Mus musculus: one gene and its partners. The protein of the gene in region 4 purifies or fractionates together with the protein of the main gene of each other region. This does not show direct contact. Links are inferred from orthologs where the notes say so. Each region holds a gene or a part of one and is shown on either strand. Other genes may lie near its edges. The genes, in order: Skp2, Rbl2, Sirt1 and E2f1.

Region 1 (5,286 bases), on a different chromosome or scaffold from region 4:
TAATGTGGACTCACATGCTATAACCTGAAGATGACTCCCTTTCCAAAAAAGTATTGAGAAGCCCAAACAGAATTTTTTTTTTTTGAGACAAGAGTCTCATTGCGTAGCCCTGGTTGTCCTGGAAGTCACTGTATAGGCCAAAGAGCTTCCAATTCACAGAGATCTGCCAGCTTTGGCCACTGGTGTACTGGGTTCAAAGGCATGAGACACCACAGGGGACTACAAAACAGGGATTTTCAAGCAAGCCACGGATCTGCTCACCACCCTGTCTGCAGACAGCGCCCGAAGGAAGGACGGAAGAATCCATTTCTTTACGCTGGCTTTGCAAGGCTTCACTCTGATGCTTTCTTCAACGTCTTTTTCCATTCCTCACCCAATTTTAGTTTAGACTTTGGTCACCTCTTCCACTGCTTTCATCCTGACCACGGCTTATCATTCTCTCACTGCTCTACATAAATCTCTAGGGGTCTGCTGCCTATCCTCTACCCGATACAGTTCAGCCTCAGCTAACCAATGTGTCCCTTTGGAGGGGTCACCGAGCCGGGGCGCCAATGGTCCACTCTTTTAATCCCAGCACTTGAGGCAGGCAGATCTCTGAGCTGGAGGCCAGCCTGTCTGAGTTGGAGGCCAGTGAGTTACACTACAAACAAAGAAACCCTGTCTCAATGGACGACACTGAACGAGGGGAGAGGAGTGAGTGTTCCAATGAGGAAAGATCAGCCCCACCTGAGGCCGCACCTCTCCCTACTCTGTCCACTCTCACTCTGCTTTCCTGTTCTCCAGCATCTTATGTGGCTTCCCTTTACTTTAGGTTCCCTATGCCAAGGGACATTTTCACGCGTATTCCTGCATTCTCCCCTTGTCTTTGCTTAAAGGTCACAGCCCAAATAAGGATGTCAGCCAATAACCAGTTTGCAATCTATCTTCAGATTCCAAGACTTCCTCCATTCTGCCTCAGTTTGACCCCCTCTTTGTTTTTAGCCACGTTGGCCTAACATGTTACAGAAAGTACCATATCCATTGGACTTCCAGCATTTCCTCACTAGAATGGAAGTTCTAGGATTTGTCTGTTTTGTTCACTGCTATTATCTGGAGCCACTATACTGTGGAGGACAGTGTGCTCTCAAAAACACTTCCTGAATCACTCTTTTGAGACAGGGTTTCTCTGTGTAGCCCTGGCTGTCCTGGAACTCACTCTGTAGACCAGGCTGGCCTCAGAAATCCGCCTGCCTCTGCCTCCTAAATCCTGGGATTAAAGGCGTGTGCTACCACTGCCCGACCCTGAATCACTTTTTTAAATGACTAGGGGGTGGGGGTGGGGAAACCTTGACAAGCCTCAGGTCAACACACTATATTTACTCTAAGGCTGCCAGTCCTTGAGTCTGGATCTGCCCTGGAGGCGCTTTATTTAAAAATGTTTGGGGAATCAAGGAGTGGGAGTCACTAGTGAGAGAAGAATTTCAGGTAAATTCTGATCTCATCAATCCACCCTGCCTCCTGGAGACAGAGCTGAGAAGAAAGCTGACAATATAAATCTATTACAATAATCCAGGAAGAGATGATGAAAGCTTGAAACAGCTGCCACACAAGAGTGAAAGACACAGTGACTAGCTGGGTAGTGGGGGCAGTGGGGATGAGACCACATTTCAGGGTTCTATGACTGTAGATGCAATGTCACAGTAAGGGAAACACCACACCCCCAAGGGCCTGCTTGCAAGCGGAGCAATCTAAGTCTCTTCTACTTAGTAACATTTACCTTCCTAATGTGCCTACCAATAATCTAAGTCATTACCATACAAAGCTTGCTCAGATACAAAGAAGTATATAGAGACAAAAGGGGACCCTCTAAGATCCCTGCTTCTGTTCCCATATGTCAGTGTACTGAGCTGGACTTTGAGCAGGAAGATTCCTTTCTAAGGAAAAGGGCAGGAAAAAAGCTTCAAGTCAATTGTTGACCACAAGATAAAGACCAACCAAGATTCCTGAAGACTTAATGACTGGAATCCATTTCACTGCCACACTTCCAAACTAGGCAATTTTAGGCACCAAAACTAGGCAATTTTAGGCACCGATCCAAAAAGATTCCCCAAGGAAATAATTCAATCGAATTTAGTTAAAACAAAATAGTTCAACCCATTACAATACAGTTTGGATCTTAGTGTTGTGCATTACCTGGAAAGTTCTCCCGACTAAGCTTCGGCCGACGGATGATCACAAAGTCTTTGTCACTCCCTTTGCCCTTGACTCGTTTCCTTGGAGGGCTCTGGGGGTGGCCGAGGTTTGAGAGCAGTCCATGTGGGATGTTCTCACTGTCCACCTCCTCCTTCTCCAAGGCCGAGACACCCATGCCTGATAGCAGTTCAGAAGTCTTGCTGGAATCCCATCCCCACGTGAAGCTGGTGGTGACGTTGCCACTCTGGTCCGGAATCTCCTGAAGGTGCTTCCTGCAGAAGGGCAGACATTCTCTATTCCTTTTGAAAATACACCCCTAAATAATTCCAAGGTAGGCATGAAAGAAGAGTAAAGAATGGAGTGGAGAAAAGTCCCAGCAAGTGACAGTACTGCATTTTTTAAACGTGCCTACAAGCGAGAGAAATACAAGAATGAAAGAGAAAAATCGGGAACATATATACTTTGAAAGGCTTTGGGATTTATGGTCACGCAGAAGGCCTCAATAATTTCTTCCCGTGGAGGGAAAAAGAGGGACGGCACTGATACCATGACTCAAAGTAGAGGAAGGAAAACTTAATTAGGAAGCCAAATTAAACTCCACATTGATATTCGCACTAAAGCATTCATCCATCCTTTTTCTCTAAGCAAACATTCACATAACCAGATTATTTGAACAAGAAGCAACATTCGCGGCCTAAAAGAATTCAAACGGTTCATTCATGTTTTGTCCGGTTTTTTTGCAATCGGTTTACCTATGCATGGTGTCCACTGATTCAGGAGTTTTGAATGCTTGAATTAATTGAAGCGCTGCCTGCCTTCCAGACTCCTGTTTTAGCGCTCGGCTTAGAGTGATCCCCGGGGCCCCAGCAGTTGGACCCGCGAACTAGCAACGTTCCATCACCACCGCGCGCGCGGAGTTCTGCATCCCGCTCTCCAGCAGCCGCCTTCTGACGCCCCGTTGCCTGCTGGGAATTGTAGTTCCGAGCCTAGCTCGTAGTCCTGCCTGGGTTCTTCCACTCTGATTTCGGACCAACCCTCCAGATACCCACAACTCCCTGCGGCGCCGGGCGGGATTGAAGGAGGAGGAGGAGGAGGAGGAGGACAGGCAGGCGGAAGTGGGTGGAGCTCCGGCTGGCTGGGAAATGTCAGCCGATTGACTGGGAGCAGGTTTTCCTTTTCCCGGAGCTCACGGGCCTTCGGGTGATCACCGCCACGGTCGCCCGGGACTGAAGGATCCGTGACCCCGGCAGGCTGCGGCGGACGCGAAGCTTCTGAGTCCCTTCCAGACGCTGTCTGGCGAGGTCCGACGGTGAGCGTGAGGGGGGCGGGGACGCGTGAGGTGCGTCAGGGTCTGGGGTCCCGGCCCAGTCCCTGGCGGACATAGACTTGGGGGGAGTTCCAGATGGTGAGTGGCCGCCGCCGCCAGGCCCATCTCCGGGGTCTCGATGGCCCGCCAGGTGAGAGGCTGCGGGTGGCACTCCTGCCATTCGCCTTCCTCCACCTGGCAGTGGGCGGCCCTTAGGACTGGGTCTGTGGACGCGATCCTTTCCTCACTTGTAAACTAGGCTCGAGGACGCGGCACACCTCATGGGCTGGCACTGAAGATCAAATCAGCGTGCGAGGGGAAGCCTTTTTCGAGCTAAAGCGCAGCTCCAAGAGGAGCGATGGTTTATTTTTAAGGCGGCAGGAGCCAGCAGTGGTTCCCGCGTGCATCCTCTTGGATCCTTGATGAGTCTCCCAAATACCAAAGGGAAAAAGGGAGGCTCCGCTTGCAAGGAGAGACCACCCTGAAAGCTGTTTAGGTGCCTCTGACTCAATCCACAGCCTGTCCTAGAATCTCTCTGCCTAGAAACTATGCTAATTTAGCCTCTGAAGAGGTCGGGGGCGATTAGATTAGAATGACCATGCAAAATTCAGGTGTGCAAACTGTGCAACAGGGGAGAGGGTAGGGGGATGCATTTCTAGTCCAGTAAAAATGAAGATTTATAGAGTTGAGAAAAAAGCAGGCCACCTTCATCAAAAACATTAGAATATTGGTTTAGTATGTTAGATTGCATACACTTGTGTTTCTTTGTGGAGAGAGCAAGATTCGTTTTATAGTGGAATTAAATCCTTCATGCTCAGTTTTGTCTTTGTTTCTAGCATAATCTTTGCATCAGTTACTTCTTGAGAGGAAGAGATTCATGAACTTTTAGTTCCTGTGAGTGAGATTGGTGTAAAAAAAAAAGACCTTTTTGCAAATTGGTTTTACTTGAAAAGAAAGACTAGGAGAATAAGTATGTAGTCACAGTTTTGTTATGGAAAGTATCTAAAGTGAGACCTTCTGAAATAGTGTATAAAGTTATCTTTTGTTACTTTGAAAAACTCATTTGCCTTCTCTTGAACTTTGTCCTTTCTGTTAGGATGTAACTCGTTCAAGAGTAAATTCTAGTAAATATAAAACAGCCCTGAATTCAGCTAAGAGTTAGCAGAGACCTTAGGATATTTAAATTAGTGGGCACAAGGTTCTCTCTAGGAAAGGAAAGCCTATCAACTTTGAAATTAGGAGCCTCCTGATTTGCCTTGATAATGAAACCGGTGTTCTTTTGCATTTCTTTAATCACAGCTATTTCCATAATATACTGAAAAGGTTTGTATTGATACACACACGATTCTTTTTATTTTTTTTTTCCTTTGGTTTTTCGAGACAGGGTTTCTCTGTGTAGCCCTGGCTGACCTGGAACTCACTCTGTAGACCAAGCTGGCCTCGAACTCAGAAATCCACCTGCCTCTGCCTCCCAAGTGCTGGGATTAAAGGTGTGTGCCACCACTGCCCGTTACGATTCTTTTTGATAGAGGAATTGTGTCCATTGAAGATGTGAGGTTATTAGCTACATAGAAACTCACCATAGAGACTTTAAGAGACTGATCTCTTAAACACTACATTGTGATTGCTGCTAATGTAAAATATTTTATTTCCTGATTAATCTTATTTAATCTTACTTAACACATTGTATTTTATTTTAATAAGTCTTTTAAAACATAGTTTTAGCATTAGAATGAATGTGAGTCCAGGATAACAAAATCATTTTCGATAACTGAAAGTATCATTAGGTTGAATAATGTCTAATGTTC
Region 2 (3,500 bases), on a different chromosome or scaffold from region 4:
TTATTTCATGGATTGTGATTTTTATGTTGTATCTGAGAAATCTGTCCACAGCACATGCTCATCAAGACTTCATTTTCTTCTGTAAGTTTTCAGTTGTTGGTTTTATATTTGTATCTGTGATTACTTGGCATTAAGTATTACATGTGACACAGGCATGCATATGATCTATGATTGTTACAGCACATAGATTGCCACTCAGTTTAGCGCCATCTGTTGGTGCTAACAGTTGGCTTGACAACTGCCACGGCACCTTTGAGAAAGACTCAGCTCACCCTGCACACACAGTATGCTTGCTTCGGTGTGTTGTACTGACCTCTGAATTTGCATTTGAGCTACACTACCTTAAGCCTAAGAACTCAGATGCTGTGAACCCCCAACTCTTTAAAAGTTGTATTATTGGGTTCCTTTGCCTGTTTATACACATTTTTTAATCATGGGACTACTTTTTACAATTAATTCTGCTGGGATTTTGTCTGGTCATGGTGTTTCTCCACAGCAATAGAACAGTGACTAAGACACCTACAATGTAAACATTGTAGATTCTCATTAATATAAAATGCTTTCATCTTCTCTGTGATCTCTTCTTTCACCCACAGAAATCTGATATTAAGCTTCCAAAACTTTAGAGGTTTGCAGAGAGCATTGATTGCCAGTATGGCCAGAAAAAAATTGCATTATTTGAATCCTTTAATTCACTACAAATGTGGGGATGTAATTCAGTGGACAAGCACCTGCTTTGCATGGATGAGACTGGTGCTCAGCACTGTACTAAGATGTGTGTGTAGTCCAGAATATGGTCTACCTTTGTATTAGTGTCCCACAGGCAGGTGGCGCTGTGGATTGTTGTCCCGTCTTTTATATCTTTATTCATTTTCTCTGCCCGTTCTATCAGTTATGTTGACTTCTCCACCATGAATGCATTTTCTCTCCTCACAGCTCACATCTCTCATAACTGAGCAGGGTCCATGCTCTGCTAATGCTTCACCACTGAGCTGTATTCCTCGCCCAGGAAGTGAATGTCTGGGTCTCCTTGCTCTGAAGTCTAGTTCTTGTGTTAGATAGCTACCGCGAGTCTCTTTGTACTTGGTGCTAGCATGGTGTTTTGAACACGTTCTTTACAACAGCCTTGTTGAGATAAAATTGGCATGCCACATAGCTCAGCATTTACAGTGTGACCCAGTGATAGCTGCTTGCTACAGTCAACCTTATTGCTCTCAAAGGAATCTTTCCCACCAGCGGAAATGCTTCCTTTTCTCCCAGGCAACCACTGATCTGTTTTCTGCCTCTATATATCTGCTCATTGCGTACATCTAACCTGCGTAGATCATGTTCAGTCTTCTATAACTAACCCCACTCACTGTTGTGTCTATAGGGGTTACCCACACAGAAGTATGTGCTAGCTAGTACTTCACTTTTTGGTCATATACATACTTATTTTATTCATCAACTACTAGGTATTTGGATTGCCATTTTGGAACTCACTCTGTAGATCAGGATGGCCTTAAACTCAAGAGATCTGCCTGCTTCTGCCCCACAAGTGCTGGGATTAAAGGTGTGTGCCTCCACCATCCAGCAGGATTGTCTCCTTTAAAGTGTATCTTCACATTTGAAGAAACTGCATACGTTTTTTACATCTAATACTAGATGATCTTAATGGGGTTGTTTGTAAAACCTACCAACAGATTGTCAGCAACTGATCCAAAAAGCAATTGCAGAGGGATGAGATTTCCTAAAATTGGGACAGTATTTCTTATAAAACTTGCAATTTTAACCAAATACATTCCAAAATGGATTGTGGTGGTAAGATGGTACAGGAATCAAAGAGGTAAGAGGGTTGGGGAGAGGGCTCAGTCAGCAGTGAGCAGCAATAAGCCAAATACAGTGGTAATAAGCCACCAGTACCATCAATGTCGGCACCACACTAAGTCCCAACCCTACCCCGTGTCACATGGTTCCCTAAGCACAACCCAGTCAAAAAGGGCACATGCTGCATTTGGCTTGTCACAGCGTCTTCTGTCCCCACTGAGCCTACGTTACTTCCAGTGAGACAGCCTTTTTCCCTCTTCTCTGATTCTTGGGCATACTTCCACATCTCAGGAACTATGTAACTCTTCACTATCAAGGCTCAAGTTTCCCTGCTCTGAAACAGGTGCTACCACATATGTCTAACTCTGAGCTCTCCGTGGAGAGAGAGAAAGTAACTGCTGCAGAAACAGAACTTGGTAACCAGTTTAAAGAGTCCAAAGTTTCACTGGGTGGTGGTGGCGCACACCTTTGATTCCAGCACTTGGGAGGCAGAGGCAGGTGGATTTCTGAGTTCAAGGCCAGCCTGGTCTACAGAGTGAGTTCCAGGACATCCAAAGCTATACACAGAAACCCTGTCTGGAAAACAAAACAAAACAAACAAACAAACAAACAAAACAAAACGGAAAAAAAAAAAGTCCAAAGTTTCTATTCTGAACAGAAGCAGAAAAATAAAATTTTACTAATGAAAGAAAACTCAGTTTTCAAAATGTACAGATTGGAAAGGAGGTAAGAAAAACATAGTTCCTCAACTTTATTTCCAACCCTGATGTCCTCAAAACCCATTGGATCCTGGGTTCTGCCCATTGTGACTTAAGCCTTCTGATGTCCGGCAGTTACAGTGCCCCAGGGAGTGCTTCGCTCACTAGAGCTAGTCCTAGCCTGCTAAGCAGTTAGAGTTGGTTAATGCCATTTATGTAGTCTTACCTTTGATGGGCTGTTGCTGAAGTAGTAAAAAATCTTCTCTCGAGGAGAAGGCATTGCTTCGTTGTTATGTGGGGAAATGTAGATAGGATGACTTTGAGATAACTGTACTCGGCGAGGGGAGCCTGTTCTTACAAATGGATAGGGAGAGAGGGGAGGAGTGTCCGTCTGTGGAAAACAAAACAAGGAATTCTGAGAATAAGCCGTCCTAGCCAGGTTGCATTAAAAGTCAACAGTTGAGTGGAAGGCTTTTGAAAGATGAACAGTGGTGGATCAGCAACAACCAAAGAAACTAGAGACTCACACCAACAGCTAACACATGCAGGTGTTTAGTTCAGCCCCCATGTGAAGCATTTTTATACATTATATCATTTGAGCCTCCCAGCAGTCAGACAACTACTGTCCTCATTTCATATATGAGGTGACTGACAACTGTACAGAGAGCTCAGTTGACTTGTGCCTTGATACTCGTGTTGGAGACTGTTTAAAGAATTACTTGTAAGCCTAGTTTATGATGGAAAACCTCAAGTGATTCCTCCCCCTCGTGAGAGGCTGAACTCAGTGACCCTGCCCTACTGACCTGCGCGTTTGCCTGCGAGTACTTCATGGCAAACGCTTGGATTTGCTTCCTATAGATGTTGTTGTAGAACTGAATGAGGTCTCCTCGTTCCTCCTCTTCAACGTCACTGCTGGCACCCGTGAGTCGAGTTGGTGTAGGAGGGGCACTGCTGGGCTGTGGAACTGGTAGGGTGCTGTTTGACCTCATCACTGGG
Region 3 (4,556 bases), on a different chromosome or scaffold from region 4:
CAGATTCTATCTGTAAAAATCATGGTGGAAATGATCTCTAGACAGGGTTTCTCTGTATAGCCCTGGATGTCCTGGAGCTCACTTTGTAGACCAGGCTGGCCTCGAACTCAGAAATCCGCCTGCCTCTGCCTCCAGAGTGCTGGGATTAAAGGCATGGGCCACCACGCCCGGCGGAAATGATCTTTTTGCTACAATATGCAGACCTAAATTAAGTGTTACTTAACTTTAAGCTTTCTGAGTCCTGAGATAGATATAAGCCACTGTGAGAAACAATCACGAGTTACAGCTTTAAAACTACTGATGCTGCAGTATTCAATTTTTAGTGCTTAGAAAATCTGAGATTTTAAATGGTGCTGTTGCTTATTTTCAGTTTATTAATGTGGGATAACTGAATATGAATTGATGTGGTACATCTAACAGAAATGCCATAAAAAGCTTAAAATACTTAATATCTTTGATTTAACTTAGGTGGTTTGTGTTATGTGTAGGCCAGGCATCCCAGTCACAAGCTGAGAACCACACAAAAGCAGTAAGCACTCAACTGCTGAACTCTTGCAGCCAACACTATTTTGAATTGTTTTGGTGAGGCTATTTGGGCTATTCACTAAAACGGACTCCTGTCTAAAAATGCTTAGTTGGGACACACACCTTTTTCCTTCAAAGCGCACTCCTCCCTACAAAAAATGAGATCTTAAGTTAGTAAGTTAGTCCCTGTGTATGTACAAGAGTCACCTACTGTGGGCATGCCCACCACACCCAGCAGTGTTCTGGGTGAGGCTCTGGCTATTTGTACTGTCATCTCATTTGGCATTCTTTCCAAATTGGAGGAGGAGGGGGAACCACAGACCACATTAAACCATTTCTCCACTTGGTGTATTTAGCTTTCTTTGCCAGGTGTCTTTTACATGGCCAGCTTTGGATTCACTCTGGTCTGACACTAGAAAACCAACACCCTCAGTCTTACTAAACACAGGTAACAAATGTGTTAAGATAGACTTTCTTGAGGCATTTAGTGATAGCAACCCTTACTGGGCTAGTATGCTATGAACAATGGAAGTTAACGGGAAAAAAGTCAAATGACAATTTTAATATAAGACTTTAAAACAAGATACAAGTATAAAACACTGTTTTTGTATTTCAAAAGTTGGAGGAAGATAATCCAGTCATTAAACGGTCTACAAAACATATGCCAGATTACATAAAAGTCTATGTACAATATAAAAAGAGCTGAAAACAGTCTTCACTGTAAAAATAATTTAAAACAAATTTTTCAATTTAAAATATTGTCTATAGCACAAACACATCATGCAAATGGAAAACTAAATATACTGCATTCTTTAGTGTAGCCAAATAAATTCAGTTATCTTTTAGGTAGGGAAATGAGCTACTTAATACTTTTCTCCTCTGGCAGTAATGGTCCTAACTGGGTATTTTATGCATAAAGAACAGCTATATTTCAAATCATTTTTTTGTAATAAATACTAAACCCACATGAATATTTAAATTTGGGGGCAATGTTCCAAAGAAGTCTGTAAAATAAATACTGACTTTCTGAGGTGTGAACTGTTTGAAAGGCTAAAAGTTTCTGCAGTTGAGAAAATTGATCCCTAGTTTTAAGGCAAGCTAAGCTTTTAAATAACTAAGAACTAGTTTCATTTGACTATTGGATCTGTATTCATCTCCATAATACAAGGCTAACACCTTGGGATACATTACACCAAATCCTCAACAGGCAACAGTGTACTTTCTGGTTGAGCTACAATTTATCTTATGACTTTGGGACTTTAATTAAGAGGCCTATTGCTTTCCTCATTAATGGAAAAACAGCAGTCCAAAATATTACACTCTCCCCAGTAGAAGTACCATTATTAGATTCAGAAAGGCTTTGCATATTCACATCTTGGCAGTATTTGTGGTGAAGATCTATGCAGGCTCTACCACAGTGATAGGTATTTAATTAAACAATGGCAAATATTCAAACTAAGGGGACCTATATAGACAGGCACTATTGTTTCTAGAACAACTGAAACACATTTCCAAATCATTTATCAGATTAGTCTCAGGGGCCTGTTTGGACATTACCACGTCTGCAGCAAGTACAAAAACGATGCAGTAAGTACGCTTCACACACTGAGCACCAAGTTTTGAGTGCTCCAGACACGGTGCTGACTCCTCACATTACAAGTCATCTGTGATTTTAAAAAGTTAGCTGCCACAAGTTTTGGAAAATGCCAGTGTTTAAAAAGTTAACTGTCCTAAAAATAAAAGTTCAGCAGAACAGAAATTGAGGGCTTTAAACTATTCAATGTTACAAACAAAAAAGTGTGAAATACCATTCTTTGGTCTAGATAAGCTGTTCCCTTTACATTAACATTCCAATGGCTTTTGAAAACTTTAAAAGGTTGAAACTCATTAGGCAAAAAACAAAATTATACATACATACGAATGTATCATACAAATGAACCTTGAAAGGAAGATGAAGTCAACCAACAGTGTTGAATGTACAAGTACAAACAGAAATGATGGAACTTTAGAAATTATCCAAGAAGACAATCTATTTTCCAGTCTATAAATAATACATCTTTCAGATTTCCTTGTTCAAGTTCACAAGTAAACATTCATTTTTTGACATGCTAAAGTTCCCAATGCTGGTGGAGCAATTCCTGAATCCGGACAGCTTCAATAGTGTTATGATTTGTCTGATGGATAGTTTACATCTGTCAATTCCTGTCTTGTAGCTATAGCTTCATTAACAACCTCTTGATCCCCTCCATCAGCTCCAAATCCAGATCCTCCAGCACATTCGGGCCTCTCCGTATCATCTTCCAAGCCATTGTAGAATTCTTCAATTTCACTTTCATCTTCCAAGGGTTCTTCTAAACTTGGACTCTGGCATGTGCCACTGTCACTGTTACTGCCACAGGAACTAGAGGACAAGACGTCATCTTCAGAGTCTGAGTATACCTCAGCACCGTGGAATATGTAACGATTTGGTGGTACAAACAGGTATTGATTACCTGAAATACAGAAGAAAATAGCACTTAGAATTTTATGTGTCCCTTAGTACCTAACTTGTTGGCTTACTCTTGAACTCAACTCTTACTTCTGCCTCCTGAAGGCTGGGATTACATCTTTTCAAGTCTAACAGCTCCCTTGTTTGCACCAATGACCAGAAACATACTTCCAAAGCTTGTTCCAGGGGCAAATATGATACAGGCCAAGTGCAATTCCCAGAGCACAAGCCTCCCATTGTGTATGAACAGATTGTGCCTGTGTTAGAGGGGAGGGAGCAGTGTTTGCACCACCCTAACAGTTGACAGGACAAAATAGGTGTCCAGTAGATAGGAACCCTGTTTTCGAGATCTTAAACAAGGCAGCCTTGTTTGAGCAAGAAGGTAGAAGAGGGTACAGCCTTAAGGCAGACCTAGGCCTAATTACCTTCTGGGGTACATCTTCAACCCTGAGTTTTCCCACCCAGAACATGGTTCCCACCCTATAAGATCATAAACTGACCCAAGTCTTAATCATTTGCTGGGGAGGTGGGAGAACGGAGTAAAACCCACTTTTGGGATATAACTCAGCTGACAGATCTCGTTCCCTAGCTGCTTGAAGCCCCAGGTTTAATCATACACACTACTGCCAGCAAAGACAAACTCATCGCCCAAACTTACTTTAACTTAATACACACAAACACATAGCACTACCTTCATCAACTAATGTCAAAACAGTTATCTGACATTGGGAATCACCCTCCTCTGATCACAGTACTTTGAAAGTGATTCAACAAAACGCATTCCATACCCTCAAGCCGCTTACTAATCTGCTCCTTTGCAAGTCTATTAGGCCAGCATTTTCTCACTGTTTCTGCAACTGAAGTTCTTTCATTTTTGTCTGCAGTACTGGAACCAACAGCCTTAAAATCTGGATTTTCCACATTAATGTTCTCAACATTCCTACTAGTCTGTACTTCTTGTGGTTTTTCTTCCACACAACTTGATTCAGATACTTCTAAATCATTAACATTGTTGTTTGTTGCTTGGTCTACAAGTGTAGCAATCACAGAAGAGTCTTGTGGTACAGTTCTTTCAGGTGAACTTGAGTCTTCCGAAATATGAAGAGGTGTTGGTGGCAACTCTGATAAATGAACCAATTCCTTTTGTGGGCGTGGAGGTTTTTCAGTAATTTCTGAAAGCTTTACAGGGTTACAACAAAGTTTGGCATATTCACCACCTAGCCTATGACACAACTCATTAATTATAACATCGCAGTCTCCAAGGAGCTCTACATCAAAATGTAGATGAGGCAAAGGTTCCCTATTTATTAATATTTGAGGCACTTCATGGGGTATAGAACCTAAAAATGGGGTGAAAAGGGGAGTTAGAAAAGAGAAGTTAATTTTAACAACTGTCAAGAGGTGGGCATGGTAGCACACCCCCGCTAATCCCAACAACAAAAAGAGGGGCAAGCAGAAATACAAATCACATTTTCAAAAGCAACTTCCTCTCAATAACAAACAGTAGACTTTCCTCCCGCTCAGGCCTTAAACTCATGGCACT
Region 4 (5,256 bases):
CTGCTGGGGTTACAGGTGTTACCCCATACCCAGCTGTAGCAATTGTAATATTTGGCTCTACTCCACATTTTTATTGAAAAGGTATACCAATTTGTTTTCAAAGATCAACACATTATCTGGGATGGGCATAAGTGTTCCTTGTGTTCCTTTGTTTAAATGTTTATTTATTTTTTTATTCTTGCTGTATTATACATAGTCCAGGCCATCCTGGGACTTAAGCTCTTCCAGTCTTGACAAAAAGATTCTAAACTGGAGGTCAAGTAGTGGCCCAAACATGTAACCCTAGCACTCAGGAGGCGGATGCAGGAAGGTAACATTGATTCAGTTTGAGCTACTACATAGCAAGATACTATCGCTTTAAAGAAAAAGGGGGGGGGGCGGAGCAAACCAGACATTGTGGCCCCACCCATTCAACTCCAGCACTGGAGGCTGGAGCAGGCAGATTTAATGATGTTCCAGGGCAACCAGAGCCAGATGAGACCCTGTCTCTAAACACAAACTAAAAACCCACCCCTCCCAATCAAAACAAACCAAAAAAAAAACAAGAAGGGGAGAGGGCGGCCTGGCTGGGGATTGATTCTAAATTGGCCAAACCGGGGTGGTTCAAAGTTAACCCGTGCCTTGGTGTTTCTGGGCCCTGGAACATCACAGCCCCCTTATTGCGTCCTTGCTCACCTCTGCCCTCAGCCTCCAATTCTCTCATACCCAGAAAGGGCCTGAGAAGCAGCCCCTGCTAAGCCAGCTCAGAGTAATGTGGTCAGAGTTGGGGCCAAGATTAAGTAGCATGAAGCATGGAGAAAGTAACCCGGCTTGAGAGCTCCCTGTAGCTTACACTGGACCTGGGGACTTGAATATTGTCAGCTACTTACTCTCTTCTTGTGGTCATCTCCCCCACCCCCAAGGACAGGAAGTTTGTGGGTCTTGTTAAACCTTTCATGTTTCTATTCCCAGTATTGGCAAGATGCCTAGTAGAGAGGACCACAATGCTGATCAGACGGGCTGACCCCAGCAATCAGAAATGCTGATGGAGGACCTCTGGATTAAAGGCACCACCATACGCACCCTCCTCGCCCCTGCACCTCCCTATGAGAGGAGATACTTTAATGGACCAATCTCTTCACATTGCAAACATCTGCTGCTTCTGTGTTTCCTTTTTTTCCTTTTCACTAAGTCATGAGTCAAGGTCTGGACTGAGGATGGGACAGTGAACGCTCTCAGGCGTTTTTTTTTTTTTGAGATCAGGGTCTCACTGTGTAGTTCTGGATGACCTGAACTGGGAAGATCCGCCTGCCTCTGCCTCCCAAGTGCTGGGATTAAAGGCAGGCGCCATTGTGGAGTGACCAAATGAATGAACGCTAACTGGGCTCTGGCTACGAAAGAAATTTCAGTAAAAAGACACTGAGATCAAAGCCACACATCCCTTACTCATTTCCTGGCTCCCCTCTTGGGCTTGGCTTCTGGGTGACAGGATAGGGAAGAAAGCATGATGTGAACTAATGGAATAAATGGATCTTAAGACCGGAGATGTGGCTGAAGCGAGCTTTGGAGGTGAGCCTGAAGAGGCAGTCTCTGGGCTGTAAACTGAGGGGGTGGAGACCACAGGTTGAGAGTTTAGGGGGTCATGTGGAGACTGCGGGACGTGCAGAACCGAGTACGAAGTTTGTTCGCTTCGCCAGACCCGCCACCCATCGAGTGGGCGGTGAAGGGGCGGGGCCCATTGCCCACGCCTCCTGCAGGGCACGGCGAGAGGCAGAGGGGAGAAGGCGCCCGGCACCGCCCGGACAAAGCCTGCGCGCGCCCCGCCCCGGGATTGGCCACCCCGCCCCTGGTCCCACCCTCCGTCTCCTGCCCCGCACGCCGCAACCAATGCTCGCCATCGGAGCCTCCGTCGTCACAGCCGCCCCGGCCAATGGAGGAGGCGTTCGGCGGCGCGTGGCTCTTTCGCGGCAAAAAGGATTTGGCGCGTAAAAGTGGCCCGGACTTTGCAGGCAGCGGCGGCCGGGGCGGAGCGGGATCGAGCCCTCGCCGCGGCCTGCCAGTCATGGGCCCGCGCCGCCGCCGCCGCCTGCCTCCCGGGCCACGCGGGCCGTGAGCGCCATGGCCGTAGCCCCCGCGGGCGGCCAGCACGCGCCAGCGCTGGAGGCCCTGCTCGGGGCGGGCGCGTTGCGGCTGCTCGACTCCTCGCAGATCGTCATCATCTCCACCGCGCCCGATGTCGGCGCCCCGCAGCTCCCCGCCGCGCCGCCCACTGGCCCTCGCGATTCTGACGTGCTGCTCTTCGCCACGCCGCAGGCGCCCCGACCCGCGCCTAGTGCACCGCGCCCGGCTCTCGGCCGCCCGCCGGTACGGACCCTAGGCGCGGGCGGGGGAGGGGACGGGCTGCTGCGCTGGGCGGCGCGGAGCCTGGGCTGGGCCTCGGGGCTCCGCCCCGGGGCGCGCATTGACTGACTGCCTTGCCTGTCTGTTTGCTGAGCCTCGCTCCGGGCCTCGGCGTCTTCACCGGAGCGTCGGAACCATTAATGATTGTGTCTCACGTGTATCCAGCTGGTGCTTGCTTAGTGCACGCTCAGGCTTTGGCACCAAATTCCCAATTCTGGTGTGAGCTGGGTGTTGTCACGTGCCCATCTGCCAGAGGGAGGAACTGAGGCCCAGAGATGGGGAAGTGCTTCACGCAGCTGCAGATGGTGGGGCTGATATTTGAACTGATGTCTGCTGGCTTGCTGCAGAACCTATGGCTAGGGAGTGCGCACAGTTGCTTGTTGGAGGTGAGAGAGGGTGACTGTTAGAGACATCTTCGGGAGATCCTCCTTAGTAGCTCTGCCAGGTGCAGGCCTGGCCTTCCAGGCCTCTGGGGATAGGCCTCTTGATTGGGAGGCCTTCTCTGCAGGGGCGGGGTGCTGGGCCAGCTGCTGCAACCCTTCCTTTGCCTGTTCTTCCATCTGCCACCCTTCCAGCTCCTGGTTGCCATGGAACTTTATTAATCAGGCGGACAGACCTCTGAGCCTCTGGAAGACTGGGTGGGCTGGGCCCCTGAGAAGGGGCCTCCAGTTCCTGGAGAGAGAAGACGTGGGAGGGAGATCCCTGGATAAAAGTCTCTTCCTGATTCTAAGCAAGTAGCTCAAGACCACTTTAGGCAGGGGGCCTAGAAAAGGCAGCTGGGTACGAGGAGAGTGGAACTTGGATCTAAGCAGGGGCCAGCTCCGTGAGTGGGCCACTATCTTCATTGTAGGGGTGGAGTGGACAGGAGGGGCGAGGGCAAGGCCCAGTATCAGAGAAGAAGCTGTTCAACTCCTGATGGGGGTGTGGGTGGCAGCTGGTCCCTGAGGCATCTTAGAGTAGGCCCCTTACTCCCCTTGGCACAGCGCCCAGTGCTGCCTTCCTTCCGGAATCACCAAGATGCTAATAATAATAACAATAGCAACCACCATTGTTTTGAGGATGTTTTGTGTGCCAGGCTCTGTGCTAAGCACTTTACTCACTTAACCTTGTGGGCAGCCGTACACTTTGTCATCCTTTCATAGATGAGGCTGAGGCCCACAACTGATAGAACTTCTTAAGCATTCAGTGACTGAGCGGGATTTCCTGGCTGTTAAAGGCCTTTCCTCCCAGCGAGGACGGCCAGTATTTGGTGGGTCAGCCGGCTTGCCTTGCATTAACTCCAGGGGCCTGTACCTGTAGGGAGGAGCTTGGGCCCTGGGCAGGTATTCTACATGTAACCAAACATTCCATTCGCTCTAGTTGAGTTAGTGAGTCCCTTTGTGCCCTAGGTGCAGAGGTAGTTAGGGAACCCCTGCCCCCATAGTACTTAAGGACCAGCAAACATTTTCTGTGGGAGAGGTTGACACCATCCCGGAGCCAAAGGCCAGGAATGCAAATCTGGATTTTGGCCTCTACCAACTTTGCTCTGGAATTTTGGGGGGGCAGTCCTTGAAATAAGCTACAGGCTTGGCTTGCACCCAGTGAATACTTGCTGGGTCCTTCCTGTGCACCTCTGTACACCTCTTTGCAGTTCAGACATTCCTCCTTGACCTACCTCTCTACCTTGTCATGTATGTGTAGATCCTGGGGGGGGGGGGGGAGGGGAATAGCACAGACAGGAGAACTGACACAGGTTCAAGGCCAGCCAGGGCTACATAGTGAAACCTAACCTTAAAGTAAGTTGGGCTGGATAGATGGTTCAGCCATTGAAAGCAATTGCTTCTCTGTTATGACAACTTGAGTTTGGATCACAGCCCCAACACTGAGGTCACATGGCTAACTTCAGTCTCCAGGGATTTGATAGTCTTCTCCTGTCTTTGGGTACCCATGTTCACATACATTCATACAGACACAAATTTCATTTTAAAAAGAAAATAATTTTAAAAAGTAAACTAGTTAAAAATAAATTAAGCCGGGCGTGGTGGCACACGCCTTTAATCCCAGCACTTGGGAGGCAGAGGCAGATTTCTGAGTTCGAGACCAGCCTGGTCTACAAAGTGAGTTCCAGGACAGCCAGGGCTACAGAGAAACCCTGTCTTGAAAAACAAAACAAAACAAACAAACAAAAATAAATAAAATATCAACAGCCTATTTTGGTTAATTGACTTCTTGAGTTCAAAGCCAGCCCGAATTACAAAGACCCTCTTTCAAAACAGTAACAGCAAGAAACTGAGGTTCCCCATTATAGTTCTTGTTTACTGTAGAAAGTATGTGGTACCATACATTAAGTCTGTAAGAGCCAGGCTTAGAGTAGAAAGCCAGCTCTTCTGCAGGGCCCTTGTTTTAGGTGTGACACTGTTGTTTTATTACACGAATCCCTGGCTGGTCGCTGTGAGTGCTTAATGCTGTTGGGGATTGAACCCAGAATTGAATGCACGCTGAATAAGTGCCAGGCCCCAGTCTTGTTTTTAATAGTTCTAAAATTTGCTGTGAGCCATGTGTGGTGGCTCCTTTAAAAGCCCAGTACTTAAGTGAGGTCCAAGGATCAGGAGTTCAAACAGTACGTCATTCACATTGCCCAGAGGAGGTAACCGTCTGCGCTGGCTCCCCCACAGACGCGCTCCTGTTTCTGAAACACTCTTAGAAGCTAAACTGGAGAACAGCTCCTGAGATTTCTAGTCCAGGAAGGGACCATGTATGTGTTAGCCTGTCACAGTGGTTTCCTTGTGTGTCTGAGCAGATTCTGTGCTGGCCTGGGCCTGCCTCGGTCTGTTACTGAGACTACATGCTGTTCCAGGGGCTGCATAAAGCTTTTGTGCCCTTCCTGTGTGTGTGTGT

Evidence for each region.
Region 1: the proteins of E2f1 (region 4) and Skp2 purify together in Homo sapiens (affinity purification with western blotting; 6 studies listed by BioGRID). This does not show direct contact. The link is inferred for Mus musculus from reciprocal best matches to the Homo sapiens genes E2F1 and SKP2.
Region 2: the proteins of E2f1 (region 4) and Rbl2 purify together in Homo sapiens (affinity purification with western blotting; 3 studies listed by BioGRID and IntAct, with this or other methods). This does not show direct contact. The link is inferred for Mus musculus from reciprocal best matches to the Homo sapiens genes E2F1 and RBL2.
Region 3: the proteins of E2f1 (region 4) and Sirt1 purify together in Homo sapiens (affinity purification with western blotting; 3 studies listed by BioGRID and IntAct, with this or other methods). This does not show direct contact. The link is inferred for Mus musculus from reciprocal best matches to the Homo sapiens genes E2F1 and SIRT1.

Annotation. Positions count from the first base shown.
Region 1 is NC_000081.6:9,137,260-9,142,545, forward strand, and holds the start of Skp2 (S-phase kinase-associated protein 2), read right to left. Parts: upstream 3,196-5,286; 5' UTR 2,933-3,195; coding exon 2,925-2,932; intron 2,445-2,924; coding exon 2,173-2,444; intron 1-2,172. UniProt on the Homo sapiens protein: Substrate recognition component of a SCF (SKP1-CUL1-F-box protein) E3 ubiquitin-protein ligase complex which mediates the ubiquitination and subsequent proteasomal degradation of target proteins involved in cell cycle progression, signal transduction and transcription.
Region 2 is NC_000074.6:91,115,057-91,118,556, reverse strand, and holds part of Rbl2 (retinoblastoma-like protein 2), read right to left. Parts: coding exon 3,308-3,500; intron 2,896-3,307; coding exon 2,731-2,895; intron 1-2,730. UniProt on the Homo sapiens protein: Key regulator of entry into cell division. Directly involved in heterochromatin formation by maintaining overall chromatin structure and, in particular, that of constitutive heterochromatin by stabilizing histone methylation.
Region 3 is NC_000076.6:63,317,948-63,322,503, forward strand, and holds the end of Sirt1 (NAD-dependent protein deacetylase sirtuin-1), read right to left. Parts: intron 4,354-4,556; coding exon 3,802-4,353; intron 3,018-3,801; coding exon 2,689-3,017; 3' UTR 1,058-2,688; downstream 1-1,057. UniProt on the Homo sapiens protein: NAD-dependent protein deacetylase that links transcriptional regulation directly to intracellular energetics and participates in the coordination of several separated cellular functions such as cell cycle, response to DNA damage, metabolism, apoptosis and autophagy.
Region 4 is NC_000068.7:154,566,576-154,571,831, reverse strand, and holds the start of E2f1 (transcription factor E2F1), read left to right. Parts: upstream 1-1,939; 5' UTR 1,940-2,097; coding exon 2,098-2,343; intron 2,344-2,405; exon of another isoform or gene 2,406-2,654; coding exon of another isoform or gene 2,655-2,765; intron 2,766-5,256. UniProt on the Homo sapiens protein: Transcription activator that binds DNA cooperatively with DP proteins through the E2 recognition site, 5'-TTTC[CG]CGC-3' found in the promoter region of a number of genes whose products are involved in cell cycle regulation or in DNA replication.